Notamacropus eugenii: one gene and its partner. The protein of the gene in region 1 interacts with the protein of each later gene in a pairwise test. Links are inferred from orthologs where the notes say so. Each region holds a gene or a part of one and is shown in the gene's direction. Other genes may lie near its edges.

Evidence for each region.
Region 2: the proteins of MAPK8IP3 (region 1) and KLC1 interact in binary tests that used the Homo sapiens proteins (3 or more experiments, as listed by UniProt). The link is inferred for Notamacropus eugenii from reciprocal best matches to the Homo sapiens genes MAPK8IP3 and KLC1.

The regions. Positions count from the first base shown.
Region 1 is NC_092872.1:48,926,802-48,934,303, reverse strand, and holds the start of MAPK8IP3 (C-Jun-amino-terminal kinase-interacting protein 3), read left to right. Parts: upstream 1-4,490; 5' UTR 4,491-4,641; coding exon 4,642-4,959; intron 4,960-7,502.
Region 2 is NC_092872.1:349,271,628-349,278,816, reverse strand, and holds the start of KLC1 (kinesin light chain 1), read left to right. Parts: upstream 1-4,170; 5' UTR 4,171-4,331; coding exon 4,332-4,477; intron 4,478-7,189. UniProt on the Homo sapiens protein: Kinesin is a microtubule-associated force-producing protein that may play a role in organelle transport. The light chain may function in coupling of cargo to the heavy chain or in the modulation of its ATPase activity.

The DNA.
Region 1 (7,502 bases):
CTTTGCTCAGTGCTGAAAAAAGAATGAAACAAATCCCATGGCATTAACATTAATTGGGGAAAAAATATGTACATATAAAACATAAAAAGAATAAATAGAGTCTTGTTAGGGCAAGAGGGCACCAGTGGGAGGGTCAGGAAAGGTTGCTGCTAGGTGGTGTTTCAGTTACTTGAATAAGAGGGGTTCTGAGTCAGGTGAGAAAGGAATGCACTTCAGGTATGGGGGACAGGTAATGCAAGACAGAGAAGTTGGAGTACCATATGTGAGAAATAGAATGCCAGTTTGGTTGGACTCTAAAATGCAGGAAGGGAAGTAATGCGGATAGACTGGAGGTGATTGTGAAGGGCTTTAAAAACCAAAGAAAAATATCGTTTTTGCCAAAGGCAACCGATACTAGAGTTTGAGTAAGATGGCTGATGTGGTACAGGCAGTGTTTAAGTGCTTACTGTGGCCCTGCACCGTGCTAAGGCAAAAAGAAAAAAAAACAGTCCCAGCTCAAAAAGAACTCATAATCTAAGGGAAAGAGACAACATACAAACAACTGTACAAATAAGATGTGTGTGTATATACATGTACTTACACATGTACACTTACATATATATGAAGTAAATTGGAGATAAACAGGAGGTGCTAATAATTTTAAAGGAGAATAGGAAAATCTTCCTGTAGAAGATGAGATTTTAACTGGCACTTGGAAAAAGTCAAGAAGGGCAAATGATAAAGAGGAGGGAGAATGTTCCAGGCATGGAAACAAGAAATGTCTGGCGTCAGGAGGTCTTGTTTAAGGAATGCTATGGAGCCCAGTATCACTGGATCACAAAGTATTATAGGGGGCAGGGGGAATGAGGCATAATAATATTGGAATTGTAGGAAGAGGCCATATTATAGAGGAATCTTTGCCAGAATTTTATGTTTGATCCTAGAGTTGATTGTAATCACTGGAGTTTATTGAATAGGGGGTGACACGGGCAGACCTAGGCTTTAGGAAGATCAGTTGAGAGCCAAATGGAGATTAAACTGGAGTGGAGAAATTTGAGGCAGGAAGACCAAGGTGGAGGCTATTGCTATCACTTCCATAGATGAGGTGATGAGTGCCTGTACTGGGAATGGTGGCAGTGACAGAAGAGAGAATGGTGTGTATAAGATACTGACAACATAATCAAGATGATTTGATTGCATGTGAGGAGTAAGAAAATGGGGTTGAGGTTGACACCTCAATCCTGGGTGACTGGGAGTTTTGTGGATCATGGAGGAATGGGTTTAGATAAATTAGCAACATCTCCTTAGGAGTTAACTTTAGGATGGAGACTTCAAGACATTATGCAGCATGTGTAGCTAGAAAGAGGGCATGGGGGTGGGTGGGAAAAAGTACCCAGGCCCAGACAGATAACTGTTGAAAGAAGATGGATAAAAGGGAAATTTCCTTTTTTTCAAGTAAGCCCCAGGTAGTGGACTGGTGGTAGCAGCATGGCAGAATAGGCCACAGGCCCAATCAGAGAGCAGCAATAGTCCCCAAGCAGGTGACAATAATCCACCTCTCTATGAAGAATCATGTAATTTGGACTCCACATTAGTCATTGCATTGCTACCAAATTGTTTTCACGTTATCTTCATGGTTGCTGGATGGTTATTGTGTATATTTTCCTGGTTTTGCTTTCTCCACTCAGTATCAGTCTATGCAAGTCTTCACATGTATCTCTAAATTCCTATGAATCATTTCTTATGATTCAGTAGTACGCTGTTATATTCCTGTGACACACTGATTGTTTGGCCATTCTCCATTTGATAGGCCTCTACTGGTTTCCAGGTTTTTTGCTACTACAAAAAGTTACTGCTATGAATATTCTCATGGGCTTTTGTTTTTGCTGCTGACCTCCTTGGGTTATATCCCCAGTGTTATGATCTGTGTATGAATCAAAGGACATGAATAGTTTAGTAACTTGAGTAATTACAAAAGAGTTTTAGGGGCCATCTCCAGTCATCCTGATCTTTATCAGGCCACTGGACCCAGATGACTGGAGGAAAAAGTGAGGCTGGTGACTTTGCACAGCCTTCCCTTACTTAAATCCAATTTACTTGCAAGTCATGGCATCATTTTCCTGATGTCATGTTCCTTTTCAGGAATGAAGGACAAACCACAACCACAACAAAGAGTTTTCAAGAAGAGTAATTTACAGTTCTACCATCTGTACATTATTGTGCCTGGTTTCTCACTGCCTTTACAAAGCTGATATTTGTCTTTGCAAACTTGATGAGTATGAGGTGAAGCCTCAGCCTTTTTATTTGCATTTCTTTTATTAGACTTGGAATATTTTTTCCTTAAGTGGTTAGTTTGTAATTATTTTGAAAACTTATTTTGTACGTTGTGTTCTCCTAGCCTCATTTGATTATAAAATCTCACGCTAATTATAGATTTGAAAGGTGCCTCCTGCCAGTCTCTCATTTTCTCTTGGTGACCTCATCAGCTTCCATAGGTTTAATTATGACCTCAATTCAGATGACTCCTAAATCTACACATCCAACCCTAGTTTCCTGAACTCCAATCTTGCATTGCTAACTGCCTATCAAATCTATATTTCTTTTAATTTACTTTGTGTAGTCCAGGGGTGGCGAACCTGTGGCCTTAGGGCCACAAAATAAAAGGGTTTTTTCTATAAAATTTGGATTCGATCAAAAGACTACACTTAAGGATTTTGAAGGTCGCATGTGGCCTTAAGGCTGTAGGTTCCCCACCCCTGTTGTAGTCATTGAATATGTTTTCTTGACTGCTTACATCACTTTGCATCAAATCTTGTAAATCTTTTCCATGGTTTTCTGTATTCATTACATTCATCATTTCTTACAAGCACAGTATAATATTCTGTTCCATTCATATATCACATTTTGTTTAGCCAATCTCCAGTCAGTGGAAATCTGTTTTGTTTCTCATTCTTTGCTAACACAAAAAGGGCTGCTGATAATATTTTGGTGTGTAGGGGGATGTTCTTATCCTATAACCTCACTGGGTATACAAGCCTAGTAGAGGAGTCTCTTGGTCAAAGTCTATGGACATTTTAATCACTTTATTTGCATAATTTATCTTCTTTTGCCTTGGTAACCAGTTGTTACCAAGTCCTATGATTTCTCATTCAACCTTTCTCAAATTCATTCTCACTTCTACCAGTCTAGTATAGGTCCCCATTTTAGCAGACCTTAGCCTCTTTAATCCCTCCTTACCCTGGCAGGTCATCCTGATGAGTATCAGGCCACTGGACCTAGATGGCTCAGGAGAAGAAAGTGAGGTTGGTGACCTTGCACAGCCCTCCCTCACTCAAAGCAAAGTCAGCTGCAAGTCATGCCCTCATCTTGATGTCATGGTCCTCATCTTGATGTCATGGTCCTCATCTTGATGTCATGGTCCTCATCAAGAAGGAAGGACAAACACAACATTTTAACTAGATGCCCTATAGGTATTTCAAACTCAATTTACCCAAGCCAGAATTTATGTTCTAGAAAAATCTACACTTGTAGCCTTCCTGGATGGATGCCTTCATCTTGGTTTGAAACTTTGGAGTCATCCTGCACTCTTTCTTCTTCAGCCCATTGATCTAAGAGTTTCCAGCTCTTAGGAATTTTATGATTAAATCTCCAAAATCTCTCTTAAATCTGCCCTATCTCTTGACTCACATGACCACTCTCCCAGTTCAAGCATTTGTCACCTCTTACAGTGGCCTTAGCATTGGACCCTCCTTTGTCTGATTTCTTCCCTCCATTTTTTAAATCAATCTTCCAAACAGCTTTTCTAAGACATGAGTCTGACCAAGTCCTTGGCTGAATGACGTCACCGCTGGAGTCCAGTTAGAGGCTGGCTGATGGGACCATGAGAGCTTGGGTGGGCGCGAACATCTGGGGTGGATTCTCTGAACGTGACTCTCTGCCCCTTCTCTGGGCTAGGTCCGCTCCGCTTTGCCCGCAGAGCCCAGCCCCTTCCCCGATGTGGGCACGCCATGCGGGGCGGTCCGTGCCGTGTCTCCCGTGTCACACCATCCCGGACCTCCCCAGTAACCTCGAGGAGCTGCGGACTGCCTCCGGGATCAGATGCGCTCTCCATCATTCCCTCCTAGGCCACCCCGACTGTGTGCACCCCTCTGCACCTAACATGGCTGGACCGTAACCCCAAGTACCGCGGCCGCTCCTCATTCCGGCCAGCCCCGCCCCCTCCCTCTGCCCGTCATGGATTCTGTTCTCTGGGGAGTCTGATCCAGAGGCAGAGATTGGGGAGAACGTTTCTAAGGTGACCGGGAGAGAGTCGCACTTCGCCGGAAGTGCTCCGAAAAGACCTCAGGCCAAGCGGCTTCTTGAAGCAGCAGTGCGCATGCTCCCCTTCCTCTCCTTCACGACTTCGGCTCCCCCTAGCGAGGACGTGTCAGCGCACCCGCAGGCGGTTGCCTGGGAGACGTTCGTTTCCCCTTTCTCCAGAGGGGGAGCAGGGGCTTCCGGGAGGTGGGGCGGGACTTCCGGCCGGTGAATGACTGGCAGAGCAGAGCGGCTGCGGCGGCCTCGGGGAAGCGGGGGAGCTGGGCGCACCTAGCCGAGAAGCAGCGGAGCCAGGCCCGGCCGGGAAGGCAGCAGGCCGCGCTGGCGGCGGCAGCGGTAGCCACGATGATGGAGATCCAGATGGACGAGGGCGGCGGGGTGGTGGTGTACCAGGACGACTACTGCTCGGGCTCGGTGATGTCGGAGCGGGTGTCGGGCCTGGCGGGCTCCATCTACCGCGAGTTCGAGCGGCTCATCAGCTGCTACGACGAGGAGGTGGTGAAGGAGCTGATGCCGCTGGTGGTGAACGTGCTGGAGAACCTGGACTCGGTGCTCAGCGAGAACCAGGAGCACGAGGTGGAGCTCGAGCTGCTGCGCGAGGACAACGAGCAGCTGCTCACCCAGTACGAGCGGGAGAAGGCGCTGCGCAAGCAGGCCGAGGAGGTAGGCAGCGAGCCGCGGGCGAGCCCGGGGCCGAGCGGAGCGGGAGGGGCCTGCTCCCCCTCCTTCCCTCCACCCTATTTCATTTCCAGGAACTCGGCTCACCCCCGCCTCCTCCCCCCCGAGCCCCCAAACTCGGCCTCAGGGAGCTTCTGCAGCCTTTCCCTTCTCCCCTGCGGCCACACCCACGGAGGGAAAGGGAGAGGCATCCCTTCTTTGGGTGTCCCTGGCCGAAAGCTCCCTGTGAGAAGCCCGAGGTCACCCTGCTGTCCCCAGCACTTAGCCCAGCCCCACGAGGAATGCCCAAGGTCACACACGTCTTGGTGGCAGCTGCCGGTTGGGCCGCGATCCCTAAATAGAGCCCCCATCCTTGAAGGCCCGGCGTCTTTTCTCAGCCGTCAATCCTGACTTCACATCGGGTTTTGTTTGTTGAGACTGTGTTGCCCAAGCCTGATTACTTCCCTAGACCAGCCTCTACCCGCTGCAGTCAGCCTAAACAGACCCTCTTTGCAGTAGGAAGCCGTCGTTGGGAAGGGCTTTTTCCCTTGTGCCCTCCTGTCCAAGACTTTTATGGTTTTGGGCAGAAGAATCAGTTAAATTGCTTCTAACACGTAATGAGAGCCAAAAGCTCCAAAGCTTCTGTCTCATCTGTTAGGTAAAACTGCTCTTGGTTTCTGTGTGATTGAGGTTACTGCTGAGTTCATCATGCCTTGTTGGTAACTCTTTTGCCCTTTAAGTCACTACATTGGTCAGATTGGGTGCATTTATAGAAAATCCTGGAAAATTCCTGTGTGGTTTTGGAGGGGGCAGAAATAGGATTTTTCTGATCAGGAAATATTTTTGCTCTATAACCTGGAAAACTGCATGTGAACCAATTTAAACAGACATCTAGGCATTTGGAAGAAAGCGATGTATTATTAGAATGCCACTACTCTTGCCCTGCATAGATACATAGTGTATATATATATATACACATAACCCAGCTTGTATGTACATAAATACATAGGTGTTACAGACAAAAGTAAGGTTCTTTATCAAAATAGGAAGCTTCTAAACTCCTTTATGATAAATTTTGTTATCCATGTTCTTATTTGTCCACATGGTGATCCTGATTTAAAGCAGAAATAAGAGAAAGAACTTACAAATTTTTTAAACCATAGCTAGGATGTATTCTTAGTGAGATTCAAGGAATGTTTTGACACACTAAAACCATAAAACAACCCTCTGAATGAACTTAATGTTTACCATAGTGATAGTGATAGGTTTTTTCATCCTTCTGTCAAGCAAGTGTTCTTTAGTTGATGGTGATATCCACCATATTTCTCTAAAATTGATACTAATACTCAGACCTAATGACAATATCTGATAAAGCATCAAACTCATTCTTTACAGGTAGAATACTAAAGATTATACATACATCATAAAATGTTAGAACTGAAAGGGACCTCAGATCGTTTGATCCATTGCCTTCATTTTACAGAGGGGGAATGGAAGACCTGAAAAGTTTATATAACCCACCCAAGGTTGTCACTAGATAGTGGCTAAGCCAGAACTAGAACCATAGCCTTCTGACTCCAGATCCAGGCTGCTTCTCTTATATCACACTACCTCTAGTCAAAATAAGAGTTGTCTTTGAACACAACAAACTTCTGGTCCTGTGTTAGAGTAACTCACTGTTGTACCAAAATCTTATGTTTGTTTCTCTTACCTCCATGATTTTTAAATCTGGTACCCTCAGTATTTCACCCCCACCCCATCTTAGAGAAGAGAAGAAATTATTCCTTTAAGATAAAATTCAAGAAATTTCCTGACTTAAGAGGAGAATAAGTAATCTTACTATGCTATGTTATATAGCATACTATGCTCAGTACTTTATATTTTATCTCATTTGATCCTCACAATAATTCTGTGAAGTAAGAGCTAATATCTTCATTTTATAATTGAGAAAACTGAGGCAGATATAGGTTAAGTCATTTGCCCAGGGTCACACAGATCACAAGTATATGAGGCTGGATTTGAATTTAGGTCTTCCTGACTCCAGGCCCAGTGCTTAATTACCATGGACCTACCTCATGAATTAACATTTTATTGTCAAACTTTCCAATAAATAGACTGGGCAATCTTCCACAATATATGTAATTTTGGGGGGAGTAAGGGGTGGAGTCAAGAACTTAAAAACTCTTTTCTCTAAATCTTTAACTCTTTTACAACCTAAGGAGGGTTGGGACCCTAAAAGGTCAAGTGACTTGCCTGAGGTTGAAGAGCCACTTAATAGAACATCTTGGCTTGGAGTCAGAGAGATCTGAGTTCAAATGTAGCCTCAGACACACAGTTAAGTAAGTGTCATTTAGTCTCTTTCCTTCTCTATTTCTTCATTTGTAAAAAAAAAAAAAAAAGGAGGATAATAATAGCACCTAGTCCCCAAGGGTAGTTGTGGCCATATTTATAAAAAATTTTACAAACCTTAAAGTAATATATGGGGGGTGTGCGCGCATGCGCACATATGTGTATGTATGTGTGTGTGTGTGTATATATATGCATGTGTA
Region 2 (7,189 bases), about 300 Mb from region 1:
AGATTTAGAGCTGCATGAGATCTTAAAGGTTATTAAATCTAAATGCCTCTTTTTACAGGTGAAGAAACTGAGGCAAAGAGTTTAAGAAGAGTCTTTCTAATTCTAATTCAAGTGCTCAATCACACCAGAATGTCTTTATGTAGTTCAAATTACAGGGTATCTTTGTGAGTCTGGAGGACTATTTAGGTCCCTGAGGGAGAAAGATGGGGCCACATTAGAGAGGAGGGACTGTTTATGGGCTACTGTGAATCCTTGCACACCTCCCCTCCCCCCCAAAAATCTCTCTGCTATGCATTATTATTTTGGGTACTTATGAGATCTAGACATCAGCTATCTTCTGAAATTCCCAGAAAGACGTTCTGGGAACCATAGAGGAGACTGCCCCTAAGATTGAATTCAGTCCCTTGTGGACCCAAAACCTGGATTCTCATGGGGGTTACAGAACATTGAAAATCAGAGCTGGGAGAACATCAGACGATCAGATTGGAAAGGGACCTTAGAGAATGTCTTCTAGTCTGAGCTCCTCAAGATCACCACATCCAGCCACAACTGGAATCCAGATTTCCTGATTAGAATAGAACAGGAGAGTCATATTTTTGGCAACGATTGAATGAATTCATTTATATTTGAAGTTAGGTGCTCATTGGTGGGTGCTTCTGGGGAACACGAGAACAAAAAAAAAAGGCTGAAAAAAAAGACGTTGCAAAGCTTTACGTACTGTACATGTTGCTTAAATAAAATGGTGTCTAAACCTCATTTCCTCAGTTCTCCCTCCTCCCTGACCTCTCCAAAGGTGTTGGAAGTGCCTTCTAATCAAGTTTTCCCTCCCTCGTCTCCTTATTGAATTGCCAGGGAGAGAGAAGAGACTTCCTTTTGTTCTCTGTCCTTGTGGTCTCTAGGGCAACAGATTAGTGCTAAGGAGACACAAAGACACCTACGTGGATACGACACACAGACTCAGCTACACACACAGATGCACAGGAAGAAAACGGATACAGGCATAGACCAAAAGGAAGCTACACAACAGATATACAACGATACACACACATGGCCAAGCACAGGTACCTACACCGACAAATAGGAACAACACAGTCTCAGGAAAAAAAAAGAGATCTGCACACACGGTTAGAAACAAAGGGTGATGGTTCCCAGGGTCTGTATGAAACCCATGGAAACGCCACTTTATTTTGGAACTAGAAGGGCTTCTGCAGTCGTGACTCAGTGCTTAGAATTCAGTTTTAATGACTGACGCCAGCCAGCTGTCTTCACCGCATGGAGAAATCTTGAGGGACAAAAGATTTGCGACGGATAAATAAATGATACAATCCTCTGGCTACGGCCCTTGGGAGGCATTTGACACAGAATCTCAACCCTCCTCCTTTCTCTTGGCTGTCACGTTGGCAAAAGTGAGCAGTGCGCCTTTTTACATTTCCTGGGGTGCTGTTTTCCCTACTATTCAGGCAAGCAACCGCTATGTCCCCTTTAGTGATGCAAACGCCCTCTAACCCAGCCAGCGCTGAAGCTGGGCCTGGGAGCATCCAGCTTTCCAAGGCCGCCAGGAAAGTGAGCACGTGGTGACGGCGGTGGTGGTGGGGGTGCCCGGAGCAGTGCGGAGCTAGGTCCCGGCATGTGAGTGCGCGACACACGCTGCCTCCAGGTTGGGCTCAGTAGGTGCAAGCCCTGACAGTTCGGTCCCCTGGCACAGCCAGGCACCTGGCTCCGCTCCGCAGGGTCACCTGGACCAGTAGATTTTAAAAACAGACAGGGAGGGAGTGGGATGACCCGGGGACTGGGAGGAGGAACCCCCCAGCCTTGCCCAGCCCAGGAAATGAGTTTTGCTAGAAGCACGCACTGGGAGTGAGAAAGGGGAAGGAGGTAGGGTGGGGGGAACAGGATTTATTCAACAAACATTTTTAAATTAATGCCTCGAACAATCTTAATTTTGTTGATATCTATCTTTTAACATCTTTATTTCCGAATATCGAAATATATTCATGTCCTTTTCCACCTAGTGAGCCTTCCCTTTATCACAAAGATTTTAAAATCACTTCAAACAAAACCAAGCAACGCAACCACTATTTGGCTCTGTGTGTGTTTGTGCGTGTGTGTGCTTGTGTTGGTTGGTTTTGCACATATACAGTCAATAGTAGTTGCGTTGGTTGGTTTTGCTTGAAGTGCTTTTAAAATCTTTTGTCAGGCTCACAGGACACATACATACATACATACATATTTTATGCGATAACCCACACCCGCAGTCTTCCCTCGTTTCAAGGAAGGGTGGGATAGATGCATTCATTAAAAAACAAAACATTAAGTACTTCGGTGCACAGTGCTAGGCACTGGAGGGAGATACAAGATTTGTATTGGTCACAGTCCTTCCCTTTATGGAACTTAACAGAATGTCGTAAGGGGGATGACAAGAGATAACTATAATACCTAGCTGTCACATACATTAAAAAGATGCAACACAGAGTGCTATAGGAAGGATGTGGAGACAAGGTTTGAGGGTAGAGGGAGGAATCCAAACAGGAAGGTGGCATTAGGTTACTTTTAAAGAATGGATAAAAATTCAAAGATAACTGAAAGAGGGATGATGTACTTGGCAGAGGGAATTGCCCACCGCAGAGATGCGAGACTTGGAGATCCAGTGGGTTGAAGCAGACTAGTATTCACTTTTATTAAACGGCTACAGAACATAGGGGTAGGTAGGGTGGTGGCTGGAATGCTTCTTTCTTCTTCCTACGCAATTAATACGGTATGGGAGAAAGCTGGGAAATCAGCTAGTTCATCCGTCTCAGTAAACAATGAACGTGCCTTGGCCAAGATCGCACAGGTAGGAGATTCGAACTCGGGTCCTCTAATTCTCGGTCCACTGCTTTCACTGCACCCTGCTGCTTCCCCACAATGGGAAAAGGGGAGCACGAGGGGACCCTTCTGGCCAGCTCCTAGGGGCACCCTTCCGTGACCACTCCAGGCCTGGGGAGATTTGGGCTTGGGAGTCAGAAAACTTGGGTTCGAAGGCTGACTGCCTCACAGACGCCCTGGGACCCTCCCTTTCCTTCAATGGGCGTCTCCCTACCCTTCTCTGACTTGCACTATGAGTCTCCGAGGCCTCGCCTTGCATGTGGGGCAGTCTGTGGACCAGTGGCCGATCTCCCCACCTCCCCGCTCCGGGGACTAAGGGCTGGCCCCCGGGCCCCAATCCCTAGTAACAGCCAAGATCAGTCCGGTTCAGCAGAGATGGGGGTCCTGCTCCGCAAAGGAGTCTGCGCGCTGGAGCGGAGACTGACACGATGACATCATCGGGTAGGGCTGGGCGGGGAGGGGAGCTGTCGCGGGGCATTCTGGGGCAGGAGGGAGGAGAAGGGAGCGAGGGGAGGGGTGTTGACGCCATTTTCGGCGGCTGACGGGGGAGCCGGGGACGCGGGTTTCGGAGGTCGGGGACGGGTCGGGCTGCTCGCCGCTCGGGACCCGTTTGGCCGAGGCCAGGAGGACCGGGGGCGAGGGGGCCCCGGACGAGGATGTGTCGGGGCGGCGGCGGCCGGACCTGCCTCCCTCGCTAGTGACTGACAGACGGACAGCCCGACAGCCCTCCCCGAGCCCCCGAGGGGCTTGACGGCGGCTCCCGAGGTCGGGCACCGGCTGCCCCGCCGGCCGGCCCTTTGTTCCTAGGCCTCCCGTCCTTGGCCTCCGTGCGAGCGGATCTGGGCGGCGGCCCCAGCCCCCTCCCTCCTTGTCAGCCCGCGGGCAGCGCGGCCACCGCAGGAGCAGGACGGTGAGTGGCGGCGGGCGGGGGGCTGCGGGCGCGGAGCCCGGGGCTCGTCTGCCCTTCTCCTCCTCCTCCCCCTCCTCCGCGCCGGGGCTGTGCTCTCTACAGAAGTTTAGAGGGTGACCGAGCCTCGTCCTCCTCGGGGGCCGCGAGGTCTAGGTGGAGTCTCGCTTATCTCCCCATCTCCATCCCTGCCCGGGCCCTCGGCGCCGGGAGCGCCGCCTTCCCCGGGGAGCCTGCGGGATGGATGGGGTGGGGCGGGGGGCTCGTTGGGTGACCAGTGCTCGGGCTCCCTTCGGTAGCGCCCAGGTCGCAGGAGCCGGGGGGGGAAGGCCGAACGGCGGCCACCCCGGAATCCCCTAGAAAAGGAGGGGCGCGGGTAGCGGGGATGGGGCCGCCCTGGGAGCGGAGAGAGGAGGGATGCCCGGCTGCCAGCCCTGGTTCTGCTTTGTCCGAGTTCTGGCCTCTTCCTTCCGGGTTCCTCCTCGCTGCGGTTCCGGTCCCCCCTCCCCTTCACCCGCAAGACACCGCCCAGGGAGGAGACCCTGGACCAAGGCCCTGGATGAGACATTTTTATCAGCATTCCTGGAAGAGGAAGGTCAGCTTCCTCTCCTTGGAGAGGAGAAACGGGGGCTTTAATTTCGTTTTCTTCTTCTCTTCACCGATAAAGCGCGCTCAGACCGGATTTCTTCTGTTTTGTGTACCCCGGTATGTTTCCCATCAGATTGGCAACCTCTCTAAAACTGAACTTCATCTCAAACTTAGAGTACTTTTTTCAATTATAAAATCTGTTGAATTCTTGTAATAAAACCCACCATATTAGCAGCAGTACTATTAATATGTTGTAGATTCGATTGTAATAGTGTGTCAAAATGTCTACTTTTTTTCTAGTATTGTATATTAAAGCATCCTTTACTGTCTTATAAGATTGAGTTAAAAAAGAATAGTAAGTATTTTCTGAGGATATCTTGCAAAAATACATTTTGGAATGTTAGTCATGAACAATTTTATAGTATTTTAGACTATCTCTATAAATAGACCGTGTTTAATTACTTCATTCCTTGTTCTAGTTAATTGTGAATTACACTTCTTGATCTTCTTTATATAAGTGTAGGAATTACTCATTTCCTTTTAATGGGCATTTCACTGGATGCCGACGAAATGCCATTAAGAAAAATGAAATGGCCTTGTTATGTTTGGTAACCATAATGTTTACAGATTCAGTATTTTGAGGGATAAGAATCCTTTAATATGGTGGGAAATTTGCCTCATCGTGAAATTTATTAAGTATCTTAAAGAGCAAAGTGATTAAATGTTAATGTATTGCAGGCTGCAGTATTCTACTCTGTAGGATAGGTAATATAAAAACCAGTTTCTCAAAGTCACTAAAGAATGCAACATCATTTCTGCATCATGTTGCAGTTGAAGTTTGGCAGTCTTGCTGTGTTACTTAGTAGTATGGAGAGAACTTGATATTGAACCTCACAGTGATCATAGGATCATCTTAGGTTCATCACAATTCCCTTTGGAGATTTTCTTTACAAGAAAATTCTTTTCATTAAAGAAATGTAGAGACAAGTTTTGAACCAGTTGTAGGAATAGTTCTAACCTTTAAGCTTTACTTTTAGGAGTTAGATGATATATCTGTCTTGTGTAAATTAGTATTTTGTGAAGCAAATAATAACTTTATACTGGCTATTTTGAAAAATATTAATATACATTTAAGTGCAGTCTCCTGAGAATATTTACTATGAGGCATTAGCAAGAGAGATCTCCATTGAACCTATAACATTTTAAAAAGGATGTTGATTGGCAGTTTTGAAGTGTCCAGTGTGAATGAAAATAATTTGATCTTTTTAAAATGTTTAAAATGAACGACACAGTTGAGTATCTTGGCAATATTGCCCCTAAATGGACAGATTCTAACAAATGCCATCTGACATTCCTACTCAAAAACTTTTGGATTAGTATAGTAGTTCTATTGGCTCTGTAGCTATCATTGTATCCTTGGATTATCAAAGGGAATAATAAAATTAAAAGGTGAATTTCCGCTGGTTGGCTTTTAGTTTCAGCACAAATTTAGAGACAAATGAATATATAGAAAGTTTAGATTATAAAGCCCAGTTTAGTGTGCTTTAAAATGTTGTCTAGAACAGCATTTTCAAAGTGTGGTCTCCCTGAGGTCAAGATTATTTTCATAATATTAAGATATTTCAATTTTTAATACAGTATATATTGATAAATGTAACCCACATAAACAAAAGCTCTTTGGGGAGGTCTCCGATACTTGGGAAGAGTGTAAAGAGATCCTGAGACCATAAAGTCTGAGAACAGCTGGTCTAGAGAATTACAATAGTCATCACAAGTAGAGTCATACAGTACTTATATAAGAGAAAAAAACTCCATATCATAGGTTCAGTTAATAATTTCTTTTCAGTAGATTTTTATTATGTATTCATCTACAAGTGCTGGGGAAACAAATTAAAAAAAAAAACTTACTGGGGAGAAGACTCAGCATGAATACTGCTAAGTATAATACAGCATGGACCAAAGACATGAAACAATTTTTTTTTACTTGAACTATTCCAACAATTGGTTTTAATTAGCTCCCTGTTTTCTACTTCATAAAGTCTAAACTACTCAGAATGGCTTTCAGGGTCATTTATAGTCTGGTTTTATGTTCCCGATCACATACTCAGGACTTTTGTTAGGCTTATCTCATCATTCTACCACAATGCCATGTTTTTAGGATCCTCCTACCCTCTGTACCTTCACTTATAATTTCCCCTTTTTCAGAAAGCCTATCTCTCCTATAGAGTTACCCAATTTTTTCCTCTCAGATCAAAGCCCAACCTCTCCAGTGTCAGCCTTCACTGATCTCTCCTTTTTCTGCCAGCACTAATAGCCTATATTAAAATTTAGCATTTGATAATGGTTCTCTTGAAACTGTTTGCTATTGTTATATATAGTTTTGTTTTCTTCCAGCTAGATTGTAATTTCTTTTAGGACATGAGCTATGTTTTATATTTCTTTTATAATTTTCATCTAGCCTCAAATACTTATTAATTGATTCTCTGACTTTATAGTGGTTTTGTTTACTGCTTACATTTTAAAATTTTAACTTTCATCCTCTTCAAGTCCAGCAATAATTTTAGAGAAATTTGTACATTTTAAGAAGTAGAAAAGCAATTAAAATGAAGATATTTACAGTGGCTGAAATGGAAGGATTTTTCCCTCACATTTTTTGGTTTATGTATCAGAAAATGAATTTTATGTTTAAAAAAAGAAGAGAATTTGTCATAAACCTATTTTGGCTTGGTATTTTCATTTTCAGCATGTTATTTTCTTCTCAAGGTAAAAATTATTCATAACACCTTTTTAAGTCTAGATAGGAGGTGACAACTCCTTAATTAAAAAAAA